Linked DNA regions of Diceros bicornis minor. The protein of the gene in region 1 interacts with the protein of each later gene in a pairwise test. Links are inferred from orthologs where the notes say so. Each region holds a gene or a part of one and is shown in the gene's direction. Other genes may lie near its edges. The genes, in order: NDN, LAX1, GKAP1 and E2F1.

Region 1 (6,602 bases):
AGTGGTTCTCAGAGACTGAACTGCCCATAAAAGGGCTTTTAGCAGTGTATGGGGAAAGTGTCTTTTTGTTTTCTTACACTTTGTTTTCATTTTTCCCATTTCTGGAGGGCATTTATATGTGCGTTTGAAGGGGACAGAGGCATAAACTGCTTCGGTGTGCATTACACTCTTACGCAATGAAAAATTTTCCCACCCTCATGTCAGGATGTTACCCTTTGAAGAACCCTCCTCTAGAGGCTTTCTCAGGGTGACGTTATTTACCATCTTTGTTTCCCAAACTTCTCTTTCCAGCCCAAGCCTCTTTCGTGAGACCTATATATCCAGATATTTGCTGGACATGTCAACTCCCTCTTCCCACTACCTCTCTCCAAATAGTCTCAGGAAGTGGTGCCTCCATATCATAGCTACATGGCACTGCTCAGTCTTAGCTGCCCCTGAGACGGAATCTTTGTCATCCTTGATACTCACAGTCTCCCTTCACCTTCTCTTATTATTTATATCTTCCCCAGCATCCCTATTGAACATGGGTTCCCTCTGTTCTATTCTCTGTGACAACATTGTTGCTCCCTAGCAATATGCATCATAGAATAATGCACGATTATTTAATACTCATTTGTTTGTTTGCTTATGGCCCCTTTTCTCCACTAATTACCCTCTCTCTAGATTGCAGAGACCATGTCTCTCCTTCTCATTATATCCCCAGGCACAAAGCCTGAAATGTAGTGTTTAATAAATACCTGCAGAACGAAGTTGAAATGCAAGCCATCATTCTTTCTCAAGTGGGTTCCTGTGAAAGATCTCCTAAATGGTCTCTCTGCTTCTCCTTATCCACCTGCCCCCAACTCCAGACTTAATTCTAGTGACATTTCTAAAGGACACTCCTGATCTTGTCAGTTCCTAAGTGCCAGCAGGCTACATTGTGGGTCTGGGCAGGACTAGAAGATCTCCCGTTTTAGTGAGCGTCTTTTGGCCTCAGTTGGACAGGCATGCACAGCGTTATCCTAGGGAGAATGCAGGGATGAGGGGCCAGGGTTGAGTCCCCTCCTCCACTCTCCCAACTGTGGAAAGCAGCACAGCCTGTCCTCACTTATTCTTTTGAAACAAAAAGGAGCCAGACAGCCAAACAGTCCCAATGCAATTGGTTTCCCCCTCAGACTGAGCTACTTTTCTAAAATGCAAATCTTTCAGGCACATGATAGACATTGCTCAATATTTGCTGAACACATTAATGTGAATTGTCTGTCTCAATTCCTTGGCCTGCAAGGCATTTGGGGCCCATATGGGGGCTCTAAGGTGGAGGTTGCTGCCTATGCGTACAGGAAAGAGCCAGAAGGATTCACATTTCATTCGGGGCCTCTGGGCCTCCGCACTGTGAGCATGCGCGCTGTCCACCGGAGACTCTGGGGTGACCCCCCTTCCTCTGTTCGCTATGGAAACCAGTGCCAGGACAGGCCTCTCCTCCTATTCCTGAGTCTGCCAAGAACAGCCTATTCCACAGCTGTGTAATCTGTTCCACATTACAGAGTTTGAAGTAACCCACCAGCAAAACTGTCTTCAGCAGAATGTTTAAGTTATAACTTCTCCATATACTTCCTGCATCCATGGAACTTCTATTTACAGAAACTTGACTTAAAGAGTAGCCTTTAATGAGTTTCTCTGGGGAGTTATTTTGTAAACTTCAAGCCTTTGCTTCTAAGCTGCTGTCCCTGAAAGGACTCATTGCCCTTATCAAATAGGGCTAGCCCTGGAGATAACCAGCAAGCCTAATTTATCCCCAGCATTCTCAGAGCATCACCGGAGCTCCAGCCCTGAATCTCGACCCTTGAATTAAAGAAGCTGTGGATGGCTCTTCTTTCCTATGGTGCCTTCTGTCCTTTTCCTTATCCTTCTAAAGGTCTGCATGTCTGGTTCACGGGTAGGCACTTTATTAGATAGCTATCAAGCTACTGACCTCTCCCATGACACATGTGCAGTATACTTTCTCTACTTAAAGGCTAACCCGAGCATTACTTTTTTCACCCCCCACTCCATGAATTTCCTTCTTGGTGGGAAATGGACCCTCTTCAGCAGACCTTTTCCTGGGAAGAAAATGATATCCCTTTAGGAGGCATACAGTTGGGCTCCAAGGGTGAGCAGCACTGGGAATCTACTATGTACTTGGTTTCAAACTTGGGCGTCAGTCCCAATGCTTTAAACTCTCTGAGCAGAATCCCTTATAGTAGTTCTAATCCACAGGCTCTTGTGCAGTAATAAACAACCCTCCTGTCAGAAATGAGGTGTGAAGTGAGCTGTGGTAGTAGTGGGGGTCAACTGTTGCACATAGGCAACTTCACTAGAATGAGGTTCAGTCCAGGAAACCCAGGCAGCTCTCTGGCCAGAGCTCTGAGATCCCACTACAGCAGGAGCTTTTATAATTTTATAACTGTTGCGTTTTTATAATTTTTCTTATCATTGCTTTCATAATTTTTATAAACAAGTGTTTTTATACTTTTATAATTGTTGTGCCCGAGCTTGTGATTTAATTTCATGAATCCACTAATTCTAGGAGGGAGAAATTTGAGGATGTAATTTTAATAACCTCACAATGGCAAAAGTTATGGCATATGGCCAAAGCTGAGCTGAGATTTAAATAACAGTCTCTTTCATTTTCATTATTAGAAATACCATAAATGAACTAAATACTTAACCCGAATAGTTAGAAAAGAATATCCAAATGAAAGAAAAAAAGAGGAAGAAAAATTAATGGTGATAAAATCTGAGAAATGAGGATTATTCTCAAGAAAAATGTTTTTAATAAATCAATTCAACAGCCACTCGTAAATAATTTTAAAAAAACATATAACTGACACAACTCTGTAAGATGTACTCAGAAAAATAGAAATCCATAACTTAAAGAAGAAGAAGAAAATAAACAGGAAAAAATCCATCGAAGACACATCTCAAAGATCTGTAGAAATTATCCTTTTGAGGTGAAAGCTTAAGGAGACCTACTGGAGAGACTGGTGTGGGACTGGTCCTGCTAAATGTGATACAAGCATGGACATCCAAAGATAGAGAAACAGCATGGAAAACGCTTCAAAGTCAATCTACTTGAGAGAAAAAAAAAAGTGAAAAATAAGAAAGGGATACAAGCAAATAAAGAGAGGACTCTAGAAATGTCAAGACAGTATTTAATTATGCTTTGGGTTGCAGGTGACAATATCCAGACACAAGATGGCATATTTATGAAGCTGTTGGCTTGAGGAAACCCAGGAAGGGCTGAGGGACCACGCTAGCTCAGACCAGGGATGTTGATCACTCTCAGGAACCCTGGATCCAGAGGCTTCTACACCCACCCACTCCTTTCTTCATGGGTGCTTCTCTGAGAGTTTTGTTTTGTTTTGTTTTGTTTTTGCCCACTGCAGATCTGTTTTCTGAAACTGGAAAACACAACTGCCAATACGTTGCATCTGATATCCTTGGTCATCTGAGAGAGACTGCCAGATATGATCTATGGGACCCTTGTTAAAAAAAAAGTCTTGGGAGGGATTTGCGTGTGGCTGCCAACATGGGAACAGTTAGTTGCTGCGAGAGGGTGGGGGTGGGGCCCTGTGAGAAGGTGAAGTTCCCACAGAACACAGAGTAGAGGTCGCAGCAGTCATCAGGGGAAGGAGGGAGCTGGGCAAACCAGGAAAAAGATATCATACAAATTTATGCTAATAAATATGACAATCTTTGTATGATAAGATCTTAATGGAAAAATTAAAATGAAATCAAAATGACCCAAAGGAAATGGAAAACCAAAATCAATGACCAGTAAAATACTAACAATGTCATTAGCATAGCATCTCCAAGAAAGTTTCCTTTGCACATGGATTGACTATATTCTGCATTTCTTATTTTATAATCCCTCTGATTTGGTAGGGATTCCGTCAATTTTCATTGGTATTTCTCAGGATTCCAACCTCAGACATCCTCCTCACAGTTTCTATATTTTTTGGGGGGGCGGGGGCAATCTCGATTGTTCTCTCAGTTTAAATTCTCACATTCGCTGCCATGAAATGCCAGTTTACACACCAGCCTAGATCTTTTTCTGGGACTCTCATATCTAACTTGATTCTGGATATGCCCACTTGAACATTCCCTAAGAAACTCAAACTCAGCATCTCCGAAGCTTAAGTCATCTTTCCTCTTAAACTTGCTCCTCTTCCAGTGCTCATCCATCCCTCTCCCCTCCTCCTCAATACCTCCTTAGCCCAAACATTGACACCTGGGGATCACTGTTGCCATAATTCTAGCGGCGCCTCTACCCTCCTTGGGATCTCAACGCACACCCGCCCCCTTCGGGCTCCCCGCCCCGTCCCTGGGAGCTCTGCCTGCGGCAGCGGACGCGCAGGCGCAGTGGCCCGTCCCTCCGCCGCCCCGCCCCGCCAGGCCGCTGCGGAAGGCGCCGTGCGCAGCAAGGCGCACTTCCTCTCCAGGAGTCAGCGGAGGGAGAGTAGGCTCGAAGAGCTCCTGGACGGAGAGGCCGTGTCGTTGTCAGACGGAGCAGACATGTCCGAACAAAGTAAGGATGTGTGCGACCCCGGCTTTACAGCCGAGCCCTCCAACTCCGAGGTGCACGGCAGCCCTGGGGTTCCCGGGGGGCTCTCTCCGCCCGAGTCTCAGGACGCGACCCTTGCAGGGCCAGAGAGCCCTCCTCTAGGCCCGACCGACGCCCCTCTGGCCTCGCCGCCGCCCCAGGCCCCAAGCGAAGAGGGAGACCCGAAGGCCCTGCAGCAGGCCGTGGAGGAAGGCCGCGCCTACCAGGCCCCGAGCGCGGCCCAGCCCAGCCCAACGCCGCCCGCCCCGGCCCAGCTGGTGCAGAAGGCGCACGAGCTCATGTGGTACGTGCTGGTCAAGGACCAGAAGAGGATGATCATCTGGTTTCCAGACATGGTGAAGGATGTCATCGGCAGTTACAAGAAATGGTGCAGAAGCATTCTCAGGCGCACCAGCCTCATCCTGGCCCGAGTGTTCGGGCTACACCTGAGGCTGACCAGCCTGCACACGATGGAGTTCTCGCTCGTCAAAGCACTTGAGCCAGAGGAGCTGGACAGGGTGGCGCTGAGCAACCGCATGCCCATGACAGGCCTCCTGCTGATGATCCTGAGCCTCATCTACGTGAAGGGTCGCGGCGCCAGAGAGAGTGCTGTCTGGAACGTGCTGCGTATCCTGGGGCTGCGGCCCTGGAAGAAGCACTCCACCTTTGGAGATGTGAGAAAGCTCATCACCGAGGAGTTCGTCCAGCAGAATTACCTGAAGTACCAGCGCGTACCCCACGTTGAGCCACCTGAGTACGAGTTCTTCTGGGGCTCCCGTGCCAGCCGCGAAATCACCAAGATGCAAATCATGGAATTCCTAGCCAGGGTCTTTAAGAAAGACCCCCAGGCCTGGCCTTCCCGATACAGAGAGGCTCTGGAGGAGGCCAGAGCTCTGCGGGAGGCCGATCCCACCGCCCACTGCCCCCGCAGCAGTGTCTCCGAGGACTAGCAAGGTCTGGAGGCAGATTAATGGTTTCTGACCCTCACCAGGGCGGTGGAAGGGTGGGGGTGGGACATTAGAGTATTCAGGATTTACAGTGCAGTATTTCACGTGTAAGTTTGTTTTCAGTACAGTGCTTTTATACCTTTTAATGCAATGTTGTATTCATTTCCGTACTATTAGGTAGTGTGTAGGATTGATGCATGTTTGTTTATAAGTAAGCTTTGTTGGTGCTTTCGCTTTTTGTGCTACCTTTCTTGAATTTTTGTACCAGAGATGTGCTAAACTTATGAAATACATTGAGAAATTTTCCAGCTTATTCTTTTATATGGAACGGATGATGTGTATTGGGGTAGACTGCTCCTGGAGAGTTTGGAAGAACTCACCAGTAAAGCTGGCCTAACCAAGAGAAAAGTCAAGGCCCCTCTCTCTGACCTTGCTGGGCACAGGAACCATCCGTGTGGAGTGCAGTGATATGAACTGAAATGGTCTCAATGTGGGCACTTGGCACACTTCACTGAACACAAATACAACCCCACCATGAGTAAACTTTAAAGTAAACATTAAAGATTCTTGTGATACAATCATTTTTGGAAAAGTGTTCATCTTTTAAACAAAGTGGTATGGGTTGGGAATAAGACATTTTACAAAATGTACAAATATAACTTTCATCTAATAGGGTGGGAAAATCACTACTTATCATTACTCATAGATGTGTGAAGTTTATAGTTTTTTTTTAATGTAACTCGTTCATTTCAAACCTTTGACAAATATAAAAAAGTATAAAAAGAAAAAGCAAAAATGCTCATAGTCACATCACATAGAAATAATATTTAGAGTAATTTCCTTTCTTGTATTTTCTACATTTTATTAAAATTAATAGCTGTCTCTTGTGGGCAGTTAAGGACTGAAGCATTTTACTAAATGCTTTACATGCATTTTCTCCTTTTATTTAATCCTCACAACAGCGTGATGAGGCAGGCACTTAGTACATCTACACCATGGAGGAAACACAGGAAAAATGTAGGTAATTAACTTTACCTAGATCATAAAGTTTAGTGAGAGGAGGAGCTAGGATTCGAACCCAGACAGAATGAGTC
Region 2 (7,263 bases), on another chromosome or scaffold:
AAGGTGGGAGATCTGGATTGTTTGAGGACATGCAGGGAAGCCAGTGGTTGGAACTGGGTGACTAAGTGGGAAAGTGAAAGAGATGAGTTCAGAGATGGAGAGTTGGAAGTGGGGGCAGAACCTGTAAGCTGTTATGAGGTTGGCTTTCATAAAATGGGAATTCATTAGAGGGTTTTAACCGAGGACCACAACGATCTATCTTGCACTTTAAGGGGATTATGCTGGCTCTCATGTGGCTGCAATCTAGGGAGAATGGAAGAACAGAGCAGCTCTGTCTGCACACAGGCCGCATGTGGGCCCAGCCTAATACCAAGGGCCACAGGTAAACCCACGCCCCACCATCATGCTCTCCTATGACACACAAAAGAGAAAACAAAAGGCTTGCTCAAAAAAAAAAATTAAATTAAGACATGCTGCTTGCCACCCTAGCTTGTTTCTGACGCCCTGGTTAATGAAATGATTGAAATGATATTCTACTCACTCACACAAGAAGGGAGCAAAGAAAACCATCCTGACCTGTGCCTTCCCTGTTCCAGCCTCCGACTCCTGTTGGCACGCCAGCTGCCCTTGGTGTTTCTTCTGAGATGCGCTTTGCTCTCGTCGATGCCTAATGTGACTGCCCACCCTGCTCCCTCTGCTGAGGAGCTGCCTCCTTCCTGGAGCAGGGGACAGACGGGCTCTCTTCTGTGGGCTGGGGGAGGGACGTCCGGCTGAGACAAGACTAGGGGCTGTCAGCAGACATGTGCTCATCCAGACGTGCCTCCCAGCTGGCTCTACTCCGGCTCTGTGGTTGCCAGGACTCAAGTGGAGGCTGCCAGACATAGAACTCCAGAAGGACCAAGCAGGCAGAGGTCACCAGACTTAAGGGAAGGGTTCTCTTACTGTCAGCCATGCCAACCCCCCTCCTCCACCAGGGCTTAGCCTAAGTGGGGAACGGAAACCATCCCCTTGTCTGCTCACACTCCTTGCTTCCAAATTCTCCTCACTCTCCCCAAGGGCCTTGGGTGGAGCAGGGGCAGGAAGCAGAGAAGTGAGAGAAATATTTCTGTACTTTCTAAATCTTTCTGTCCTAACCCTGCTCTCTCAGAACTTTAACTTAAAGGGAAGGTATTCGCGGCCTTTGTTCTCTGTTTCAGACTTGTCTGCACTGGAGAAGGCCTCCAGGACACAGATGAACGAGTGGGTGGGGCTTGCCGCCATCAAGGCTCCACCTATCACCCTGCGGTGGTTGTCTCAGCTCCCAAATCTTCAGAAACAAAGCCTAGCTGGAGCTGTCTTTCACACAACGCAATTTTGGCATTTTTTGGCCTAGAAATACAAAAGCGGCTGTTAACCCCGTCCTGGAGCAAGGAGACACACCGGGCCTCAGGTTGTCCTTCCTGAGAGAGGCAGTGCAGGCCTGCCGTGTTCACTTGGCTGATGAGCGCACAGCAGGAAAACAGGCTAGACACTGATCGATTTCCCAGTATCTCGCCCCATTACACACCCAGGTCATAAATTCACAGCAGCAATAAGCACCTAGGAGAACTTCTTAGAGCCCAATTAACTCTTATGGTCAGGCACTGTGCCAAAAGCCAGAGAACAATAAATACAACACAGTCCCCGCCCTGAAGGGGTTCGAAGTCTACTTGGGGAGACAGACATTTAAACAACTAATCCCAACAACTGAGAGGTGCTATCACGCATGGTGCCGTGGGGACACAGAAGAGCAAGAACCCGGCTCTCAGGACGGGAAGGCTTCACGGAGGTGCTGACACTTGGGCCACATTTTTTTTTTAATAACAATTTTGTTTTTTACAAAAATTACACTTGATCTTTGTAATAATTCAAGCAATAAGAGCCCAAAGAAGAAAGCAACAAAATACCTCAAGCCCCACAACCCAGAAATAACCAGTATAAACTCTTAAAATGTGATTTTATTGGAATTTTACAAGAGAAAAAGAAACTGCTGTTAAAATGACGGAACTTGTCGTGCAAAGGCCCAGAGTATAAATGTGACAGCAAGCCGGGTCCGCCTGGAATGCAGAGTGAGTACAAGGCGGCGGCCAGCCGAGATGACCACTGCACGGCGGCAGGGACCGCGTCTGCCTTACGTGCAAAGCCAGGGCCTCTTGTGCAATGGGAGACGGCCCGCAAGTATGTGCTTCGAGACGGAAGTAACACATGGAAGGTCGGCGGGCTAAGCATCAGGCGAGGAAGAGCGAGCAGTCCCTTAAGTATAAAGAAATGAGCCTAATGCATAATGAGAGAATAACATAATAGCAGCCCCATTTAACGAGCTCTTGCATGTGCCCAGTCCTAAGCAAGCGTTTTTCATTGTTAGCCCCGTTATTTCTCACAACAGCATTGCCTACGCACTGTCATTACTGTCATTTTACATCCAAGGAAACACCCAAAAAGGTTGGAGGCCCTGCCCAAGATCAACCAAGTAGTAATTTAGGATCTGAACTCGTGCTGATGTTCCTCACCTAGGGCACCTGTCTTCCAAAGAGGATTCGGAAAGGTTTTGCTGTTAGCAACATCACTGAGTTAGCATGGAGCCCCTGCCCTCAAGGGGCTCTGCTCACTTGGGTGCATAGGTTCTGTCAATTTAAAGCCGGTCTTAATACTTTAGAATCGTGAGTCGCATTCAACTCCTGAAATCATTGAGGCTGGTGAAAGGCAAGTACAAGAGCACGCCGCTCTAAACACAGCGCCGTTTCCCAGAAGGAGGAATTGTCTTCCACACTATGATGAATAATTTCAGACACCTATTTTGTGTTTAGGTTGGTTGGTTTTGGCACCTCGGGAGGGAATGGAGAGCAGGGTGAGGGCGCAGCCGGGGCCTGGAAACCCGGAGCTTGGCCTGTAGCCTGCGAGCCTCCTTTGAGGGGCTGTTTCCCTCAAGTGTGGGGGCAGGAGGAAATCAGAAGACTGGAGGGGAGATTAGTCTGACTCAGGCAGGCTGGTGGATGAGGGAAGTGGGGACTCAAGATGGTCACACACAGGGGGACGTTCTTGAAAAGCATTTTTTTTAAGTAGCAGTCAGAGCTCCGAGGTTCACCCTTCCCGTGTACCACCTTCTAAGCTCCCGCTTCACACACCATCCCCTATTGGCACCAGTGGCTGAGGGCAGGCCTGAGGGCCTCTTTCTTCCACCAGTCCCGGCCACCACCCAGTGTGACAGACTGCTGGTCTTTTTCCCTGTGAGGTGTCCTAGTTGTTACTCAGACCTGATCCAAAGGAGAAGTGGGCAGAGACCCAGGTTCCAGCTCTAGAACCAGCTGTCTCTGAGCTTCCTGCCAGGTAAGGCTACTTGGAAGGAAGGCAGCAAGGACCTGGAATGGCAGAGCTCTGGGGGGCCTTCCTGGGCCAACCTGCAGCCCCCTCCCCTGGGGGCCCTGTGAGAGCCTAGACGTACATAGGGCAGGGGCTGACAGCTCAGGGAGGCCAGGGGCCTTGATGTCCACTGGGAAGAGGTGGGAGAGAGGCATAGGGAGGAGGCATCACCTATCTTCCCTACCATCCACCTGGGAATCCATTTCCTTGTGGAAAGTGAAGTCAAAGGCTCTTCTTCACACCCTCATAATAGTCTTAGTGGCCCCTTCTCTTTGGACTCTCCCAAGATGCAAAGCGAGTTTCAGGAGATTGGTGAGGGGAAGGGAGTTAGAAACAAATCTGGAGCAATCTTTGAAGTTTGGCACACTTGGGGTGCACATGGGGGTGTACAAAAAGCAGGCCTGGGATGGATCTTCTCCAAGAGCCCTGCAAGGGAGACAGCCAGCACTCAGGGGCCACTGCAGGCAGGCCTTCAGGAAGAGATGGCCTCCAGGGCCCCGCTAACCCAGCCTCAGCTCCACTCTGAGGGTCAAACCCAGAGCACAGGTTCTCAAAGGTGGAACACAGACCAGCTCCATTAAAATCACTGGGGAAGCATTTATGAAAACAACCTGTCCCCCTCTGGACTCTCTGCCCATGGAACAGCCGCAGGTGCCAGAGCTCTGCGTTTTTCTAAAAAGCGTCTTCCTAGGCTCCTTAGACCTGCTAAAAAACATGATAAACCTGGAGGTTTATAAAACACTAGACGTCTCAGAAACCCAGGGTGAACAAGCACAGATACCCCACCACCTTGCTCCAGCCTCAGTCACACTCCCACAGAGCACGGCACACCTGGCTGACCCAGGGAACAGGGGCACAGACAAGTTTTCTTCTCTTCGTAAGAGCTGAGCAGCGTTTCCTGTGCCCCACGCTCCGTTAGCACGTTGGTGGTGTCGCTTCCTGTGACTGACTCTCTGTTTCCATTCCGGCACAGTGTTTGCTTTTTTCTCTCTGCTTTGGGGGTTGGAGGAAGAGAAGCTTCTCACGGTGCCTCTCTAGGGCCTCTTGGCAGTCTCGCCCTGGTGCCCCTCACACTTCTACCAGAGGCAAAGACCACAGCTTCTCCCGGAGCCGCCTCGCCGGGGGAGCCCACGCTGGATGAGCCCTCGCCTCTGCAGTGGGCATTGTAGCCGCGTCCAGGTAGAACCAAGCCTGTTGTCTTCGTATGTTGGGTCAACTCAGCCTGACATTTCAGGGGTAGGCACAAAGCAGGGAGTTTGTTGGAGGAAAGAAAGTTCTAGAGAGACAGATTGGGAGCTTTAGAAAGGAAGAAATAAAAACCAATAGACTTTTTTTGTGAGAGACTTTGGTGAATAAAGATTTAAGAAGAAATTTTGAGAGTTAAGAGTTGTACATTAGGGAGGGTTTGGAAGACATGAAAACCAGGAGGATTTCTGTCATTCTTGTCTACTAAAAAAAGTGGTTATAGCACACAGTATGATATGTAAAACACAAACCAATTTTGCCTTTTCTGCTGGGAGTCAACAACTTAGGAAGAGCCAGGAAAGTGGCAGACATGCTGGCTGGCTGATTGTGATTGAAAGGAGGCTTAGAAGGAGGAGCTGAAGCCAGAGAGGTTCCTGTGACAATGGCTGTCACCACCCCAACCCTCTCAGAAATCAGAGGGAGGACGGCGGAGCCCGGCACTCTGCAGGTCACTCGCAGCAGCCTGGACAGGTGAGTGGCTCTGGGTGGTGAGCTCCACCCTCCCTTGATTAGACAGAGGGCCCTGCTCTACCCTGGCAGCTTCTACCCCAGCAGTGCTGCCACCCCTTGCAACCAGGCTCAGGTCCACTGAGACCACCAAACTCTAGGCTCAGAGAGGTTTGCTCAGGACTGCTGGGAGGAAAGGAAGAGGTGTCGAGGAGAAGAGGGAGCTGCTGGGGAAGAGGAAGGCTCTGACAACACAGGATTTTCTGAGAGCTGGCTGCCTGGCCTGGTGGACTTCTCTCCTCCCTGAGGTCCTGATAACTGTCCTCAGTCTTTCCTGTCCCTGATCCCACCAATCATTCCTCAAAAAACAAGTAGGTCCTGCCATGATGGAAACAAAAGGCCCACTTATCTCAAGGATGTGTTTTTAGGTCCTAAAAACTTGCCATGAATGAAAAATGTAATCATAGATACGATAAAGATATGTCTTTAGGACACAAAATCTCACAGAACTAATCATGGATGTAAATTTTACAGCTAAAACTTTCAACATTGGGCTAACAAAAATAAAAAGTCCATCAGCAGTTGAAAGGGTAGGAACACTAGTAGGTATAAATTTCAGTGCTATGATAACAGTACAACTCAACCGTAATAAATTTAAAATCACTCTAGTTTGGGGAAATAAATGTTATTACCATGACAAACACACACATGTCATTTGCAGGTGGACAAGAGCATTGATGGGGGATGAATTAATAAAGCTGTCAGAACCCTGCAGCCCTCACCCCCCAAAAAAACTATTTTTATATTCATTCACTCGTTTATGAATTCACTCACTTGTTGATTTAACAAATACTCATCAAGCCCCAATAAGTCCAGGCACTGTTCCAGGCACCCAGTGAGCAGGAGAGACAAGTCCATGACCTCCTGGAGCTGACAGCCAAGTGGGCAACTCAGAGATAAGCAGAGAAGCAAATGAATGTAGACTATAATGTCCATTGGTCGTAAGTGCTAGGAAGAAACACCAGAGGAGAGTATGGGGACTGACAGTAACAGGGTGTGGCCCAGGAGCACCTGTCTGAGGAGGTGCTATTTCAGGAGAGACCTGAATGAAATGAGGGCCCAAGCTGCGCAGACAGCTGCAGAGGAGGGCTCCAGGGAGAGGGAGCGGCAGGTGAGCCAGGACTGTGCTTTGCGTGGTCAAGGAACAGCCAGGAGTCCTGGCAGTCAAAGTCAGAGGGAAAGGGGTAGGAAATGAAGTCAGAAGGTCACAGAGGCCAGAACAGAAGGTGCTGGAATTCCTCCCTGGGGAGGGACCATGGGTGTCATCCCGAGTGTGATGGGGAGTCATGGAAGGTTGCAAGCAGAGGGGCGCGATCTGATTTACTGTTGAGAGAATCACGCTGGCTCACATGTGAAGATAGTATTTTGTGGCCAAGAGTGAAAGCAAGGAGACCCATTAGGGAGGCTACTGCAAAGGTCCATGGGGAACACACAGTGGCTTGGAGCAGGGTGGTGGCAGTGGAGGAGCGAGAGGTGACTGGGTTTGGGATAGATGCTCAGGAGTTGAGAAGACAAAATCTACTGGTTGACTAGAAGCGGGTCATGAATGAAAGGGAGCAGTCAAGTATGGCTCCAGGGTCTTGACCAAGCTACTAGATGATGGGAAACACCAAAGGAGGAGCAGCTTTGTGGGGGGAGAGCAAGAGTTCTGTTTTAGACATATTTGGTTTGAGATGTCTATTGGGCAGCCTGGTGGAAATTTCCAGTATAAAGTTGGGTAAACAAGCCTAGAACTCAGGAGGACAAAAACCTTCCCTGCTAGATGACCTGGTTTCTAATATTTGGGGGTAGCATGTCTGCTAGTGATTCCTTTTGGAACCTCGATTGGCTGCTTCCTGTTACAGTAGGCAAAGCAGAGCAGGAACTCCAGGCCTGCCAGAGAATTACAAGCAGCGTGGCCTTGCTTGGTGCATTTGCACTGGTTAAATTACACAGAACAGCGGAGTGCTGCTTGGAGACCAGCTCTCAGGTTGGTGCTGTGGGGGTCACTCAAGCACGCAAGCTGGACTCTGTCACAGGGCCACTCCGTAGCTGTAAGTTGAGTAATCCTCTCCTCCAAGCAGGACAGGAAGCCCAGGAGCAGGATGAGGGGAAGCAGGGGCAGATGGACTTGATGTGGCGAGTTTGGAGGACAGTGCGGTGCTCTGGAGCTAGCACAACCCTTGGGCCCAAACAGACCTAGACTCACATCCA
Region 3 (7,721 bases), on another chromosome or scaffold:
TATATTACATATTTATCCTCACAACAACCCCATGGGATGAGTGCTGTGATTCAACCCCTAGCAGTCTGCCTCCAGATCCCTATATCATTTTCTAACTTTTTAAAAAATTATTTAATTATTTATTTATTTTTCCCCCAAAGCCCCAGTAGATAGTTGAATGTCATAGCTGCACATTTTCCTAGTTGCTGTATGTGGGACTCGGCCTCAGCGTGGCTGGAGAAGCGGTGCATCGGTGCGCGCCCAGGATCCAAAGCCGGGCCGCCAGCAGCGGAGTGCCTGCACTTAACCGCTAAGCCACGGGGCTGGCCCCCCTATATCATTTCCTTTTCTTTCTTTTTTTTTTTGTGAGGAAGATCAGCCCTGAGCTAACATCCATGCTAATCCTCCTCTTTTTGCTGAGGAAGACCGGCTCTGAGCTAACATCTATTGCCAATCCTCCTTTTTTTTTTTTTTTTTCCCCCAAAGCCCCAGTGGATAGTTGTATGTCATAGTTGCACATCCTGCTAGTTGCTGTATGTGGGACGCGGCCTCAGCATGGCCGGAGAAGTGGTGCGTCGGTGCACACACGGGATCCGAACCCAGGCCGCCAGTAGCGGAGCATGCACACTTAACCGCTAAGCCATGGGGCCGGCCCCCCTATATCATTTTCTAAGCTACAAATTCATCTTCTTTTCAATTTGTCAGGTCTCTTGTCAATCCCTATTTATTGTTAAGTTATACAGGAGGTTTTTCACGTAGATTTTGAACATTTACAGTGCATTATCTGATGTGGCAAAGCTAGCATCACTTTTGATGTATCTCTTTGAGGATACATTTTGGAGGTAGAACAGAGTAGTCTATGACAAATTTTAAAGCATAGTCACTTAAACTGGGAAGCCTGGCAGGTGTTTATTTTATAATACAGACAGATGGGCATTTCCTCTTAAAGAAAGCAGTTATCATCTGTAATGAGACGTCAAAAAGAAGCAATTAGAAATCCCACATTAGTAACATAAAACTTTAAAGCGCCTGTTTAAATGAAACATGATTATCTGCAAGAGTTTAACATATTAAATCACTGATGGCCTTGAACTCTCTAATTCAGAGATTTTAGTACCAGGCTCATTATCACTACTCCAATGCTACCATCACTCCTGTGGATAATTCTTTGTGAGATAAATATATACATATTTTATTATATTATATATATATAGTGTGTGTATATATATATATTCCTTTCAAATCTTTACTGCCTCTCGATTCCTTGACCACCTGTCTTCACACGATCTTGTGTCCTCTGCTGTCTCAGCTCCCCCCTCTCATGATCATTCCCTGCACCCTGACATTACTGACAATTAGAGCCTCTCTGCTAATTTTAATTTCAAGCCTCCCACTCTCCAACCCATCTCCTATCGTTTCAGGTCATTCTCTATAGTACCTAAACTCCACCAATTCTTCAACCTGATCAGAAACACCAGCCTATTCACCCTACCATCTTTTCACCGCTCTCCACCCATCTCACAGCCTTACTTCTTACCCTGTCTGAAATTATATGCCTTCTTTGTTTCTACCCTCACCTACTTTGCCTATCTCTCCCCACCATTCTTGCTTGGCCAAATCTCAGTCCTGGTTAATCCCAAACTGCAGGTGAGCAACTGAATAAAGCTGGAGAAAAATGCACAACCACATTGACTGGTCTCACTATAAATTCATGACCACTCACTCACTCAGGTGGGCCCTTAGTAGTGCCTGGGAACTTTACTGTGTTTCCCTAGTCAAATCCCTCTCCCACACTCATAGGCTACTATTTTACCTCTCTTCCTCTCTCCTCCTCCCTCTCAAACTCCCCCCTCATTATTTAGTTAATGACTACATTAGCTAGAGTAGGCTAAACTGCAATAACAAATAGAACCCCAAATGTTATGGCTCCAACTCACTAAAAATTTATAACTTGCTCACATAATAATCCAGAGTGGGTGTTCCAGGTCATGGACAGCTCTCCTTCATCCAGGCACCTTCTTTCTGGTGAATCTGTCAACCCCAGGGGCTGTGGTCATCTGCATAATCCAGCTGGCAGAAGGGAAAAACACATGAAGGAGGCACACTGGCCTGGCAGTGCCAGACACCATTTCTGCTCATATTCCATTAGCAATAACTTAATACATGATCATAGCTCACTGAAAGAGCGGCTGAGAAAAATAGTCTGTGTGCCCAGGAAGAAGGGGAGAATAAATTGTGATGGACAATTAACAGTCTGCCAAAATGATCTTGTTTCTTATTTCACTGAGAAAATAAAAGCAACTAGAAAAGAACTTCTGCTTTGTCCCACTATCAAATTCACAAGCCTACTTTGGTATGTCCCATTTATGTGAGGACTGGAGGGATTATATTTCTAGGCTGTCCCTGATCACAAAAGGGCAGTTTCCAAGCTTTCAGTTAGAACAACACGGTCATAATGACCACACCGCCTAATCACAAAATTCAAACATACCTTCTTTCCTTGTGCTTTTCACCGTCTGTGGTTTTGGATATTGCTGATCATCATTCCTTCCTGCCTCTGCCTTTGTGAAACTCCACTTTACCTTGCTTCGGTGATTCTGCATTACCCCGGTTCTTCTCCTCCCCCTTTCTTCGCTGGCTTCTCTCATCTAGATTAGATCCCTTCTTGATTTGTTGGCTTCTCTCATGAAGGTCAGAGATTCTCAAACTTTAATGTCACACAAATCACCTGGGGTTCTTGTTAAATTGAAGATGCTGATTCAGCAGGTCTGGAGGGGTGGGGGAGGGCTGAGATTCAACCTTGCTAACAAACTCCCTGGAGATGCTGTGCTGCTGGGCCATTGACCACACTTTGAGTAGCAAGGTTCTAAGGAAGATGTTCTCCAAGATTCTGCCCTTTGTTTTCTTCTTTTCTCTCACAGTGGTATCACTGCAAGGCTGATAACTTCCCAATCTATTTTCTAGTTCAATCCTCTTTCCCATACTTCAAAACTTTTATGTCTAACTTCTTAGCGTCCACTTCTATCTGGTTGTCTTGACAACTTTTCAAACTCTTAAAATGTCCAAATCTAAACTGATCTCTCAAAAAGCAGTTCCTGCTATCTCTTATTGTTTCTTTTCTCTCTTTTATAATATCTCCAAACTCAAAACTTCCACTATCTTTGATTTTTTTCTCTTCCTTCTTATATTAACCTTCATACACAGCCTCATGCTATCCTCTCTTGCTGTAAACCAATTAATCAATTGCCAAATTCTGTTGATTCTGCTTCCACATCCTCTTTCAACCAAGCTCATTCAAACTCCTCCTGCACTACCTTTAGTTCAGACCCATCATTACCTTTCAACTGGCCTATTGCACGTCTATCTGGCAAGTTTCCCATCTCCAATTTCTATATCCCTTCACAAAGAGATTCTTCCCCAAAACTTTTAAACCGTGAAAACTAAAAGTACTGAAATAAATACAAATTTTTCCACTTTACATCCCAGGCCCCATTCTCCTTTGTCTCTGCCATTTCTCAACATGCCCCAGAATCTTACCATTTGCTTTTTCCTGAACATGACGTTCACTGATTCATATTCTCATGCTATACCTTCTTGCTGGAAAACCATCCCCATCTCCTTCAAGGTCAATACCAAATGCCTCCTTCCTCCATGCTGCTTCTTTCTTGACCCCCCAGATATGAACAGTTCTTGGATCTTCTGCAGTACTCTTTTGTATTTTTCACACAGCACCTATCATGGTTTGTCTTTTATTACAACTGTTTTATCTTTGTTTTATTCCTTACTCTCTGAAGACAAGGATAACATCTTCAACTCCCCTTTGTAACCCTGTAGCATCTTACCTATGGGGGTGTGTGTGTCTAGTATTAGTTGAATCAAAGTGATTTAGGGAGATAATACGATGCTGTGGCAAGCAGCACAGAACTCGAAAATCAGGACAGCTGGGTTCCGGCTCTGCCACTTATTAGCCGTGAGGCTTTGGGTAAGTTACTTAACTCCGCTTGTAAAATGGGAATCCCACTACCTGATGGAGCACCAAAAGAGGTAACGTCCAAGTGTTGTGTAACTCTACAGAGAACTGAGCAACGTTCGTTATTTTCCATACTGTGGCCTGATGTAGTCTCGCTATTCAAATCTTGATTTGCAGGACCATCCCTACTTCACTAACAGGAGGTCGAGCCCCGACAGGCTGGGAACCCGGGCCCCCAGGTCACGGCCCTTTTCCACTCCAGGGCCGTCTATCTGCTCTCCACCATGCAGGTGAAGCTGCCGACTGCTGGTGAGTGGCTAGGAGTCCTATTCTCTCAGGAGGCTTCCCTCCTTCCACCCATTCCGGGAAAGCCCTTCTCTTCCCGCTAACCCCAAAGACCGCGCCGCCGCAGCCTACGTGAGACGTTTGGACCCTGCCCGGCCCCCGTAGCTCCCCTTCTCCAGCAGGTGGTTCTGGTCCTCTCCCCCAACTCAGGGCGCTCACGTCACCGGCGAACCTCTACCCACGCGCCAGCGCCGCAACCAACCGAGAAAATAAACAAACCCCCGCGCGCGCCGGCTGGCGCGCCGACCCCGCCCCCGCCCCGCCCCGCGGCTCTCACACCGCCCCCTCCGCCGGGACTTCCCTCCCGCCCTCGGCTCGCAGCCGCGCGTTCCCCGCCCCTCACCGCAGCCTGCAGCCGCGCTCCGCCCAGCCCGGCCGGCCCCGGCGCCGCGGGGCCCGTTAGTGCCCGGCGCCCGCTCGCGACCCCCGCCGGGTGCGAGCCTGTCCCCGCCCCTCGACACTTGACCCAGCCCCGTCCCAACGCCCAGTGCTGTCGCCCCGGGAGCGGCGGCGGCGGGGGGAGGCGGGAGAGAAGGGCCGAGCCGGCGGCCGGGGAGGCCCGGTGAGTACGTGGAGGGCGGGCCGTTTGGCGGGGGTCCGCTCCGGCGTCCCTGAGGCGGTCGTGACGGCTCGGCCGCGCTGCTCCGTGCGCCTCGGGCTCGGCGGTTGGGGACTCGGCCTGAGGTGACGGGCCTCGCTGGCCGGAGGCTCTGGGCAGAGGGCGCGGGAGGCCGCTTCTCAGAAAGGGCCGCGGCCCCGACGCGCCGCGCAGGGTTCGGGGGCGGCGGAGAGAGACCCGCGCGGACCCCAGGCCCCGGCCGTGGCTGCGCCTCCCAGACCCCGCGGGCGCCGGGGCCCGGGGCCACAGTGGTCGCGGGGCCGCCGGCTGACAGGTGCCGCCGCCCCCTCCCCGCCGCGGGCATCGCACTCCCTCGCGGGGTGTCGGGCGCTCGGAAATTTCTGGAGCGACAACCTGACTCGCTGTTTTCTTCCTTTCAGGTTTTCGAAGCCGCTTCTCTGCCCGAGTTAGGTCTCGCACAGCCCTATTTCTTTCTCTGTGTACTTTGTGCGACGAAGTTTTGGCGCATCGGTTAACAGCCTGTAGGTGAAATTTGCCTTTCCTTCATGAATGAGGTATAGTGAAGTACTTTTGAAGAAAGTGCTCCTCCTCTTCCCCGCTGGCTATGGAAAAGTGTGGAGACGAGTTTTGGATTTTGTTTTTTCCTGTTATTGTTTGGAACAGGGAGACTCGCAGACTTTTTGTCAGATCTCTAGCATTTAGGGTGCTTAGTGGATATTGGATAGTAATGACAAAAATGGTTTATTAAATTGATTATGTTTTCTCTCCAGCTGCTTTTACATTTTTAATTCTTAGCTGGATTTTACAACTGAGTAGGTGCTACGGCTGTCATTAGAAGCACTAGTGGAAGATCGTCTTTTTTTTTGCTGAAAAGCCAGTGAAATTTTTTCTACACCGTTCAGTATTGTCTATTTCTTTATGTAGTAAATGTGCTCGTGATTGTAACCGGAATCCTCAGTTTAATAAATTTGACTTGCAGCTATCAGAATATTAGATGAACTTGACGGCGAATTAAAATATTAAAAATCTTTAATCTGTGGAAATACAGATTTTTTCCCTCAACAGGTTTATAACACTGTAGTTGATATTAGTCAAATTCTGATCAATGGGAGATTTTCTTAATTGTCATAAATGGTTTAACAAACTTATCTATAAGATACCAGTATAGTGGCTTCGGTCTGTGGACTAAAAGCAAGAACCTAGAAGTTGACTCAAAGAACGTTGGGGCAAATGAAAATACACGTGCTTTATTCATGGGAGAGTCCCTTAGGTTCTCACTCAGCACCTGCTTCTAGGTTTTGGTTAGATTTTTTCAGCCCATGGAAAGGGCTGAAGGCCCTTTAGAGACTGCAGGTTGGAGAGGAGGGGCAGTATTTAACTATGAAGACAAAATGGAATTTAGGGCATATCCATTAAGTTTGTGTGGTTTGTTTGCAATAAGTGTGTTGGGAGCAAAGTTTTGGTATGCACTTGGCACTTATTGGTTATGCACCTTAATTTATAAGAAGCCAAAGTGAAAGATACTGTTTAGTTGTGTTATTTGAGGAACAGAACATGAAATAATACAGTTTAAAAAAATTTCACCAGGTATTAAATCACTGATACTCAGTGCCGTTTCATCTTACACTGTTTTTTTAAAGTCTAAGTTACATTTCAGCGAGGCCACACTAATTGGCATCTCCATTGTTTTACTTTCTTTTTTGATCAGATTAACTGGTTGATAGTGTTAATGGAAGATGGCTGTCATTCATTTTATAAAAGGATATATTTGGTTGTTCTTGACTGAGAATTTTATACATATATCAGTTTTGAAGTGCCCTAATTGTGGTTCTGTGGACTGAGGTATGGCTACGGCTACCATCTTTCTTGACCCTAGAGAGGTTTTAGCCTAGAGGGGTGATGTAATAGTGGCCCTGGTCCTCAGAAGCTTGGTAGAGGACACCAAGAGTACCAGCCATTTAGAAATCCTGCTCTTGCAGTTTAGGCTATTCAGTAGTTTACTGAAGCACCTGATGTAGCCTAATTCTTTTTAATCAACACTTTAAAACCAATGTTGTTTTCTAAACAAATATGTTTCCTAAACAAAATTAGTTGTGGTGATAATCAGTTGGTAGAATGGCACTTATAATGAAACAACTTTGAATGGGTAATAATCCTTGTTAATTCACAGTTGCATTATGGGAATTGGGGATTAGCTACAGTGCGCTTTGCATTTTCTTTTGCTGTCCATTCTACTTTAGAGCACATCTTTCAGTGCATAAATAACTGTGTACTTGGGGAATGTAAATATTAAAAAAACAACCCAAATTCAGTAAATTTATCTTTTGTATGCCAGGTCCTGTGGTATTTGTTAGGGATAGAAAGAAGAGGCCCTTGCCTTTCGGGATGTTGAAATCAAGGTTGTAGGGGGGTGTAGGGGAGTGTAGGGGGTGTAGGGGGGTGTAGGCATGACAGTAAACAGATAATTTTAATGGAACCCATTCAGTGATAAAAGTACATATGAAGTGAAGAAATATAACAGAGGAAGGAAGGATTAATTTGAGGGGCAGATCAGAGAAAGCTTCGTAGAGATGCTAGCACCTGAGCAGGATTTTGAGGAATGAATACAAGTTTTAAGTGGAAGAGATAGAGGGCAGTTTAGGCAAAGGGAACAGCATATAGGTATGAACACGTAAAACTAAACGTGTGTTCAGGAAATTTTGAGTAGTTTGTTTTGTTGGAGCACAGAATCTGAGGAAGGACAGTTGTTACAGAAAGCACTAACATATACTGTAGTATTTAATAAGTCAGATAAGTGGCATATTGAGTATGTCTAAAATGGAGACTTCACTGTAATTTGACATTGCT
Region 4 (7,561 bases), on another chromosome or scaffold:
AAACCTGGAATGGCAGGGCAAGTAAGGTCACTGAGGGAGGCAAGCCAGGCAGGGACTCTGGTGGCCTGGAGGGTCAAGGCTCTGACTAAACGGGGGACAGCAACTGCTTAGCACTGCGATGGCCTGGCTAGTATTGCCAGATATTACTGTTTAAAAGGAAGCCAAATATTTCAATTTTTATACAGTATTTCCCAATTTAAAATTTTTTAAACTAATTCATAATTCAGAAAAAATATTTTGTGGGCAAATTAAATCACATCTATGGGCCAGTTTGCAAACTCTGCCTGTCCTGTTTTCTCACTTAACCCTGACACCCATCCTGTAAAGGAGCCTTTGCCCCTCGGCCTATGGATGGGGTAAGCAAAGCCCTTCAAGTGGGTGCATCACTTCCTCAAGGTCATCTAGCCAACCACATGGCTGGGGTCTGCCTGACTCCCAAGGCTTGCTTCCATGTTAGCCTCGGATGAGTAAGAGGCCTGTGTTCAGACACAGCCAGAAAGAACTGGCACGGTGACAGAGCATCTCCAGGGACAGTAAACCGTCAGTCAAACAGAGAATTCAGTGTAGCAACAAGGGATCATTCGAGACAAACGTGATGCTGCAGACATAAAACTCCCCACCTCCCTCTGCCAGAACTCAACAATGGATGTCTCTGTGCCCCTTAATAAAATTAAGTCACTACAGAATCATTTCTCCCAATTATGCACTCGTTATAATGATGGGATGTTCCTGTTTGGAGATTTTTTTTTTTTTCAAGCTAAGAGTGTATGTTTAGGGAGGTGGTATATGTAGAATAAATAACTTTGAATTATTTGTGTCTTTTGTCAAACTTATTAATGAGCATATTGTGCAGGTACATAGAAATAATTCTGACTCTCCCACTGGACTATGAGCTCCAGGTATCAGAAATGGGTCTTTTTTGCTTCCAGCTGTTTCCCCAGCACCTAGCATAATGCTGACACATAGTAGGTACTGAATAAATATCTGTGGTTTGAATGAGTGAGGCTCAGAGCAAGTGAATTGACTCGTCCAAGGTCACACAGACCAAGGTTCCTTTTGCATCCACCTGATTTAGAAGCCCATGCTAGGGCCGGCCCCGTGGCTTAGCGGTTAAGTGCCCGTGCTCCGCTGCTGGCGGCCTGGGTTCGCATCCTAGGCGCGCACAGACGCACCGCTTCTCCGGCCATGCTGAGGCCGCGTCCCACATACGGCAACTAGAAGGTTGTGCAACTATCTACTGGGGCTTTGGGGGAAAAATAAATAAATAAATAAATAATTAGAAGCCCATGCTATCACTTCTACACTATCCTGCCTCTTGGCAAGAATCGCGGGGAAAATGTCTCCAGGCCCAGGATCGTGGGCCCAGGAGCTTACACCCCTTTGGACTCCTCTAGAGTAAGGAGTTGGTGGAGGTGGTGATGGGGGTGAGCACCTGCTAACTGAGCCATTATCCACCATAATACCTTTTGGAAACCACACATTGTAATCTTGACAGCCCGAGCCTAGCTCTTGGGGTGTTTACAGAGGATGACATGGTATGAAGGGCAGGCCCTCCCGGGTTTTGCAGTGAAACAGGCCAAGTTCTCATCTCAGTTCTGCTTTGCGACCTTGAACTGCACTTCCTTCCTCCTGCACCATGTGGATAAACAAGCCTCACTTATGGGATTATCAGATTGAAAGGAGATTATCAATGGAAGTGGCTGCCCAGTAACTGTGGATGTTCTGGAAGCCTCCCAGCCTGAGGAGAACTGTTGATGTTGAGAACAGCCTTATCAGGCTCTGCCAGGCTTGGGGCCAAGGGAACCCATCTCTCAGGCCTTTGCTGCTTTCAAGTGGGTATTAATAGATACAGAATGCCCTTATCTCTTCCTTGATTTCACACTGGGAATTCTGATCTTCGCTCCTTTCTGCTGCAGCAGAACAGGAGAGATGGTGGGAAGGAGAGCACTGGCTTCTACCTGGGAGGCTGTGTACTTGAATACTTTGGGGAAAGGCAGGGCTTTGAAACACCTCTGGCTTTAGCCTCACCAAGCCTGAATAATAGCCTTTCATATGCTAGGTAAGCTTGTGCCCTTTGGGCCTCAGTTTCCTCATCATAAAATGGGGCAATAATAACAATATCTGTCTTTTCCAGCAACCAGTACAGTGCTTGGCACATGGCACGTGCTCAATAAGTGTTTGTTGAGTGACTATTGGGTATGAGAGTGCTTTACAAAAAGTGAATGTTACTGTTATTGAGACCCTTTGGGAAGGTGTGGAGGAAGGAATCTCCATCTGGAAAGGGAGTGTTACTGGCTTATCTCACCCTCTGTCAGGGTCTGGCTTGGTTATTTGATTTTATTTTATTTTTTTTTTGTGAGGAAGATTAGCCCTGAGCTAACATCCAATGCCGATCATCCTCTTTTTTTGCTGAGGAAGATTGGCCCTGAGCTAACATCTGTGCCCATCTTCCTCTACTTTATATGGGACGCCGCCATGGCATGGCATGGCATGACAAGCGGTGCGCTGGTGTGCACCCGGGATCCGAACTGGCGAACCCTGGGCCGCCAAAGCCGAGTGCGTGCACTTAACTGCTTGAGCCACCGAGCCGGCCCCCTGGCTTGATTATTTTAAATGAGACCTACCATTCCAATAGTAGCTTCTCTAACCGGGGAGGAGAAGGGGGACAGGCTGGCCCCAGGAATGGGAATCCAGTGTAGGCCCCATTCTATCACTGGCTGGCTTCACAGGTCCCTACCCCTGAATGGGCCTCAGTTTTCCCATCTGTGCAGCAAGAAGCTTGTGTAGTCTTTGTGGTTCCTTCTAGTGCAGACACAGTCTAGGATCTGCAATGAGTGATTTCACAAACTGCTTAGGAAACTCCTGCTGCTTTCCTAAACCACCTCATAATTTATAAAACACTTTCAGATCCCTTAGGCTTTTCATCCTCATGGCAGCCCTGGAAGGGGCCAGGGCAATGTGCCCATTTTACAGATGAGGAAACTGAAGCTGAGAAATACCCTCAAGGGGCTGTAATTTGAGGCTGCACCACACATTTTGGTTATACGGGTATACCAATTTGTTCTCAAATGGGAAAAGCACAGAAAAATCACCTGGAATGGGGATCGGGGGCTGCTTGTGAAAATGTGGATTCCTGGGCACTTAGAGATTCTAAATTGGCAGGGCTGGGGTGGGGCTAGAGTTAACAAGTGCCCAGGTGATTCTGAAGCCAGGGGCCTAAGGACTACTCTTGCAGAACCAAGGCCTCCTTGTGGCATTCTAGGTGGCCTCTGGCATCAGCCTCTGTGTTTCTTTCCTAACCCTTCTAGGTACCTGCTCTGGGCCAGGCCAGTGTTGGGAAGAGGCCCCAGTCTGGTAGGGGAGGTAGATGGAGAAACCCAGTGTGTGGTCAGTGCTGGAACAGAGGCAGCATCAGGCAATGGAGGACTCTGGAGGGCTCCCTGGAGGAAGTGATGTTCATACTGGGCCTAGTGATTTGATTCTTGTTTGTGTCTTAACTACTTTTTTTCTTGTGGGTCATCCCCACCAGATGGCAGGCAAATTCGTGTAAATCATGAATTTCACATCTCTGCCCTCAGTGCTGGCACAAGGCCTGACAGAGGAGGGGACAATATTGGTCAAACCAGCTGACCTGCACAATGAGAAATGGCTGATGGAGAGGTCCCAGGGCCTCCAGATTAAATGCATTTTCATGCTCAGCACCCTCACCTGCTCCCTTGGTGAGGTCTAACATGGAGTCACTTTTATGGTGGAAATTCCTCATCGTATCGTAAACATGTGTTACCTCTCTGTTCCCCTCCTCCCTTTTTCACTAAACTGCGAGTTCCTTAGAGCCAGGAGTCAAGAATGGGGCACAGAGCAGGCTGTCTAAACGTTTGTTGAATGAATGAGTTCAAGCAGAAGCTGTGTATGGGCTATTGAAGGGATTCCAGCTATAAGGGAGCTTGCAGGAAAATCCCAAACTGTATTAGGCCAGAAGTCCCACCCCCATTTCCTAGCAGCCCCCTTCTGCTTGGGCTCTGGGTGACAGGGGCTTTGGAGGTGGGCCTGAGAACCCAGAAAAGAGGAGGGGCAGTTTCTAGAGATCTGGGCTGAGGGTATTGGGGCTACAGGTGGGGGAGGGGTGGGTCGGGGGGGTCTGGGGGTCACGTGGGGTCTGCTGATGGTGAGATGTGCAGAATAGACGCTCAGTCCTAAGGTCTCCACAGAGGATCAGCAGCGTGAGGTGTGTCCGGGGGCGGGGCCACCACGCCTCGGGCCGGGGCCGTCCCGGCTGCGCGCGGGGAGTGCTAACGCGCCTGGCACCGCCCCGACAAAGCCTGCGCGCGCCCGGTCCCGCGATTGGTCGCGCCGCCTCGCGCCGCCGCCCCGTCCCGCCCTCCGCCGCCGGTCCGGCGCCCTGCAGCCAATGGGCGCCGTCGCCGTCGCCTCCGTCACGGCCCGGACGGCCAATGGTGGCAGCGCTCGGCGGCTCGTGGCTCTTTCGCGGCAAAAAGGATTTGGCGCGTAAAAGTGGCCGGGACTTTGCAGGCAGCGGCGGCCGGGGGCGGAGCGGGATCCGGAGCGGGATCGAGCCCTCGCCGCGGCCTGCCGCCATGGGCCCGCGCCGCCGCCGCCGCCTGCCCCCCGGGCCGCGCGGGCCGTGAGCGCCATGGCCGTGGCCGGGGCCCCCGCGGGCGGCCCATGCGCGCCGGCGCTGGAGGCCCTGCTCGGGGCCGGCGCGCTGCGGCTGCTCGACTCCTCGCAGATCGTCATCATCTCCACGGCGCAGGACGCCAGCGCCCCGCCGGCCCCCGCCGGCCCTGCCGCGCCCGCCGCCGGCCCCCGCGACCCCGACCTGCTGCTCTTCGCCACGCCGCAGGCGCCCCGGCCCACACCCAGCGCGCCGCGCCCCGCGCTCGGCCGCCCGCCGGTACGGACACCAGGGACTCTGGGCTGAGAGCGCTGCCTCGACCCCCCGCGCAGACCCGGGCGGGGCGCGGTGTTTGGCCCGGAGGCCGCGGGGGCGGGGGAGGGGTGGGCTGAGGCGCCCGGCCTGGGCGGTGCCGAGCCTGGGCTGAGCCTCCGGGCCCCGCCCCAGGGTGCGGGGTGACCTCGGGCCAGTCCTTGTTTGCTTCTCTGTGCTCTGGGCCTCAGCGTCCTCACCGGAGCCTCGCGTGGGTCAAACTCAGAGATAATAATGGCCCACGTGTATTCAACTGGCGCAGACTGCATGTCAGGCCTGGCAGACTTCGAGCCAGCTAAAACTCACAACCATACTGAGAGCTCGGTGACCCATCTGAACTGAGGCTCAGAGAGGGCAAGTGACTTGCCCCGGTCACACGGCTGCAAGTGGTGGGACTGGAATTTGAACTGAGGGCTGCTGGCTTCAGACCAGAGCTTGTAGCTGAGTAGTGGGCATGGCTGCTTGGGGAGGTGAAGGAGGGTGTCCTGGGGCCAGACCGTTGAAGAGCCATTGAGGAGATCCTCCTTCCTGCCTCAGCGCTAGATTGCCAGGTGCAGGCCTGGGCCTCTGGGGACAGGCCTCCTGGCTGGGAGGCCTTCTCTGCAGGGGCGGGGTGGCTGGGCCAGCTGCTGATCCCCTCCCTCTGCCTGTCCTTCCATCTGCCACCCTCCACCCGCCCAGGCTCTGGTTGCTATGGAACCTCATTAATCAGGCAGGCAGACCCCTCTGCCCCTGTGGAAGTACTGGGTAGGCTGGGCCTCTGGGAGCTGGAGAGGAGGCCCCCCACCGCAAGGAGAGAGTAAACATCCCTGGGAGATGCCTTGATAAAGTGCTCCCTGAACAGCAAGAGGCTTAAGACCAGTTCAATCTGGGGGGTCCAGAAGAGGTGGGGGAGAAGGGAGTGGAGGCCTGATGCTTGGACTTGTGGGCTGCAGGACAGGGTGTGGAGACCAGTTTGACTGGCACAGCTTGTGAGTGAAGGTGGGGCGAGCAGGAGGGGTCTCAGCAGGGGGCTTGGAGCAAGTGGGAGGGGTGAGGCAGGGCCCAGCGCAAGGAGGTGGAAGCTGCCCAACTGCTGATGGGGGCCTGGGTGGCAGCTGGTCCCTGAGGCATCCCGGCAAGGCTCCCCCAATCTCCTTGGCTCCATGCCCAGTGCTGCCTTCCGGAATCACCAAGATGCTAATACTAATAACAATAGCAGCCACCATTGTTTTGAGACTGTTTTGTGTGTCAGGCTCTGTGCCAAGCACTTTACCCAATTAACTTGTTTAACCCTCTCAACAACCTTCCCCTTTTACAGATAGGGAAGCTGAGGCCTAGAAATCTTAGAACCTTCCCTAGTCATTCAGCTAGTGAGTGGTAGGACCAGTCCAAATTTCCCGAGCAGTTAACTGCTGTGCTAGGATGCCTTGCCTCCTAGAGATGCTAACAGATTGAAGGAAGCCCAGGGCCCCTTCCTCCTACTGAGTGAGGAGGAGGGGGTCCCAGGATTGGGTCACCTGGCTTGTCTCCTATATCCTGGTGGCTTGTCCCTGCAGGTACCAGCTTGGGACCTGGACAAGTATCCTCCATTGAGCTGACTGACAAGTACATACAGGCCCAGGACTGTGGGTCCTGCCCTCAAGGAGCTGAGCTCCAGGCTCAGAGATACTTCCAGGGATGGGGCTGAGGAAACGTGCCCTCCGCTCCACCCCCAGTGGTGTTGGGGCAGCCTCACTGGGCCTGAGCAGTCCATTCATTCAACAGTTGTTGAGTTAGTGCACGCCCATTAGGTACTAGGCACAGAGGCAAGTAAGGAGCCTGTGCCCTCACAATACTTAAGGGCTAGTGGGCATTTTCTGCTGGTGGGCAGGGATGGGGGGTCAGCTTTTGCCCTCTAACACCCCCAACTCTTGTGCCTTTGAGTAGCCGCTGGCTGTATGCGCTGTGACCTCCGCCGACCCTCTGCACTGGCATTTGTTTGGGGCAGTCCTTGAAACAAGCTACAGGCTCAGCTTCTGCACCAGTGCGCATTCATAGAGCATCTCCTGCATACGAGGCTCTGCAATTCAGCCATTCCTCCTGGCTCTTCGTATCCACCTCTACCCTGTTGTCATGGCTTTAAAAAACAAACTAAATATAATACATATTTACTGTAGAAAAAGAGTTAAGAGGTGAAAGTTGAAGGGGGCAGGATCTCAGCCCCATCCATCCTTCCTTCTCTTTTCTTTTCCTAAGCCTATTTTGTGTGTTTTTTTAAAGGTGGTTATGACAGCTTTCCTTTTCCAAAGTTTTAAAAATTGTAGTTTTTCCTTTATTTCCGTGTTCAGACAGTGCATTGTTCACACTTTACAGAGAAGGCAACAATTCCTCATGGAACCTCTCCCCATACGGAGGTTCCTCCTGAAATGGATTCTATAATAACAGAAACCGAATCAGAGAAAACAGGTTTCAGGAGTTTTTTAATCCAAAAAGGGATCATATAAGTGCATTTCCCTATAGCATTTTTCTTGTCTTTGAGAGGATTCTGCGTCGACCTGCCTCAGTCCTTGACAGCTGCTGGTATTCCTGGGGCTGGATGAATCACGGTTTTTGTGGCCCCCTCCCGTGGATGGGCATTTTGGGTCATGAGATTTT

The links.
Region 2: the proteins of NDN (region 1) and LAX1 interact in a two-hybrid assay, tested with the Homo sapiens proteins (2 studies listed by BioGRID and IntAct). The link is inferred for Diceros bicornis minor from reciprocal best matches to the Homo sapiens genes NDN and LAX1.
Region 3: the proteins of NDN (region 1) and GKAP1 interact in a two-hybrid assay, tested with the Homo sapiens proteins (2 studies listed by BioGRID and IntAct). The link is inferred for Diceros bicornis minor from reciprocal best matches to the Homo sapiens genes NDN and GKAP1.
Region 4: the proteins of NDN (region 1) and E2F1 interact in a two-hybrid assay, tested with the Homo sapiens proteins (2 studies listed by BioGRID). The link is inferred for Diceros bicornis minor from reciprocal best matches to the Homo sapiens genes NDN and E2F1.

What each region holds. Positions count from the first base shown.
Region 1 is NC_080744.1:76,965,346-76,971,947, forward strand, and holds NDN (necdin), read left to right. Parts: upstream 1-4,442; 5' UTR 4,443-4,533; coding exon 4,534-5,511; 3' UTR 5,512-6,086; downstream 6,087-6,602. UniProt on the Homo sapiens protein: Growth suppressor that facilitates the entry of the cell into cell cycle arrest.
Region 2 is NC_080743.1:101,886,879-101,894,141, reverse strand, and holds the start of LAX1 (lymphocyte transmembrane adapter 1), read left to right. Parts: upstream 1-4,249; 5' UTR 4,250-4,497; exon of another isoform or gene 4,498-4,838; 5' UTR 4,839-4,945; coding exon 4,946-5,034; intron 5,035-7,263. UniProt on the Homo sapiens protein: Negatively regulates TCR (T-cell antigen receptor)-mediated signaling in T-cells and BCR (B-cell antigen receptor)-mediated signaling in B-cells.
Region 3 is NC_080761.1:10,021,732-10,029,452, forward strand, and holds the start of GKAP1 (G kinase-anchoring protein 1), read left to right. Parts: upstream 1-4,708; 5' UTR 4,709-4,856; intron 4,857-5,293; 5' UTR 5,294-5,395; exon of another isoform or gene 5,396-5,428; intron 5,429-7,721. UniProt on the Homo sapiens protein: Regulates insulin-dependent IRS1 tyrosine phosphorylation in adipocytes by modulating the availability of IRS1 to IR tyrosine kinase. Its association with IRS1 is required for insulin-induced translocation of SLC2A4 to the cell membrane.
Region 4 is NC_080758.1:26,081,584-26,089,144, forward strand, and holds the start of E2F1 (transcription factor E2F1), read left to right. Parts: upstream 1-4,559; 5' UTR 4,560-4,651; coding exon 4,652-4,912; intron 4,913-7,561. UniProt on the Homo sapiens protein: Transcription activator that binds DNA cooperatively with DP proteins through the E2 recognition site, 5'-TTTC[CG]CGC-3' found in the promoter region of a number of genes whose products are involved in cell cycle regulation or in DNA replication.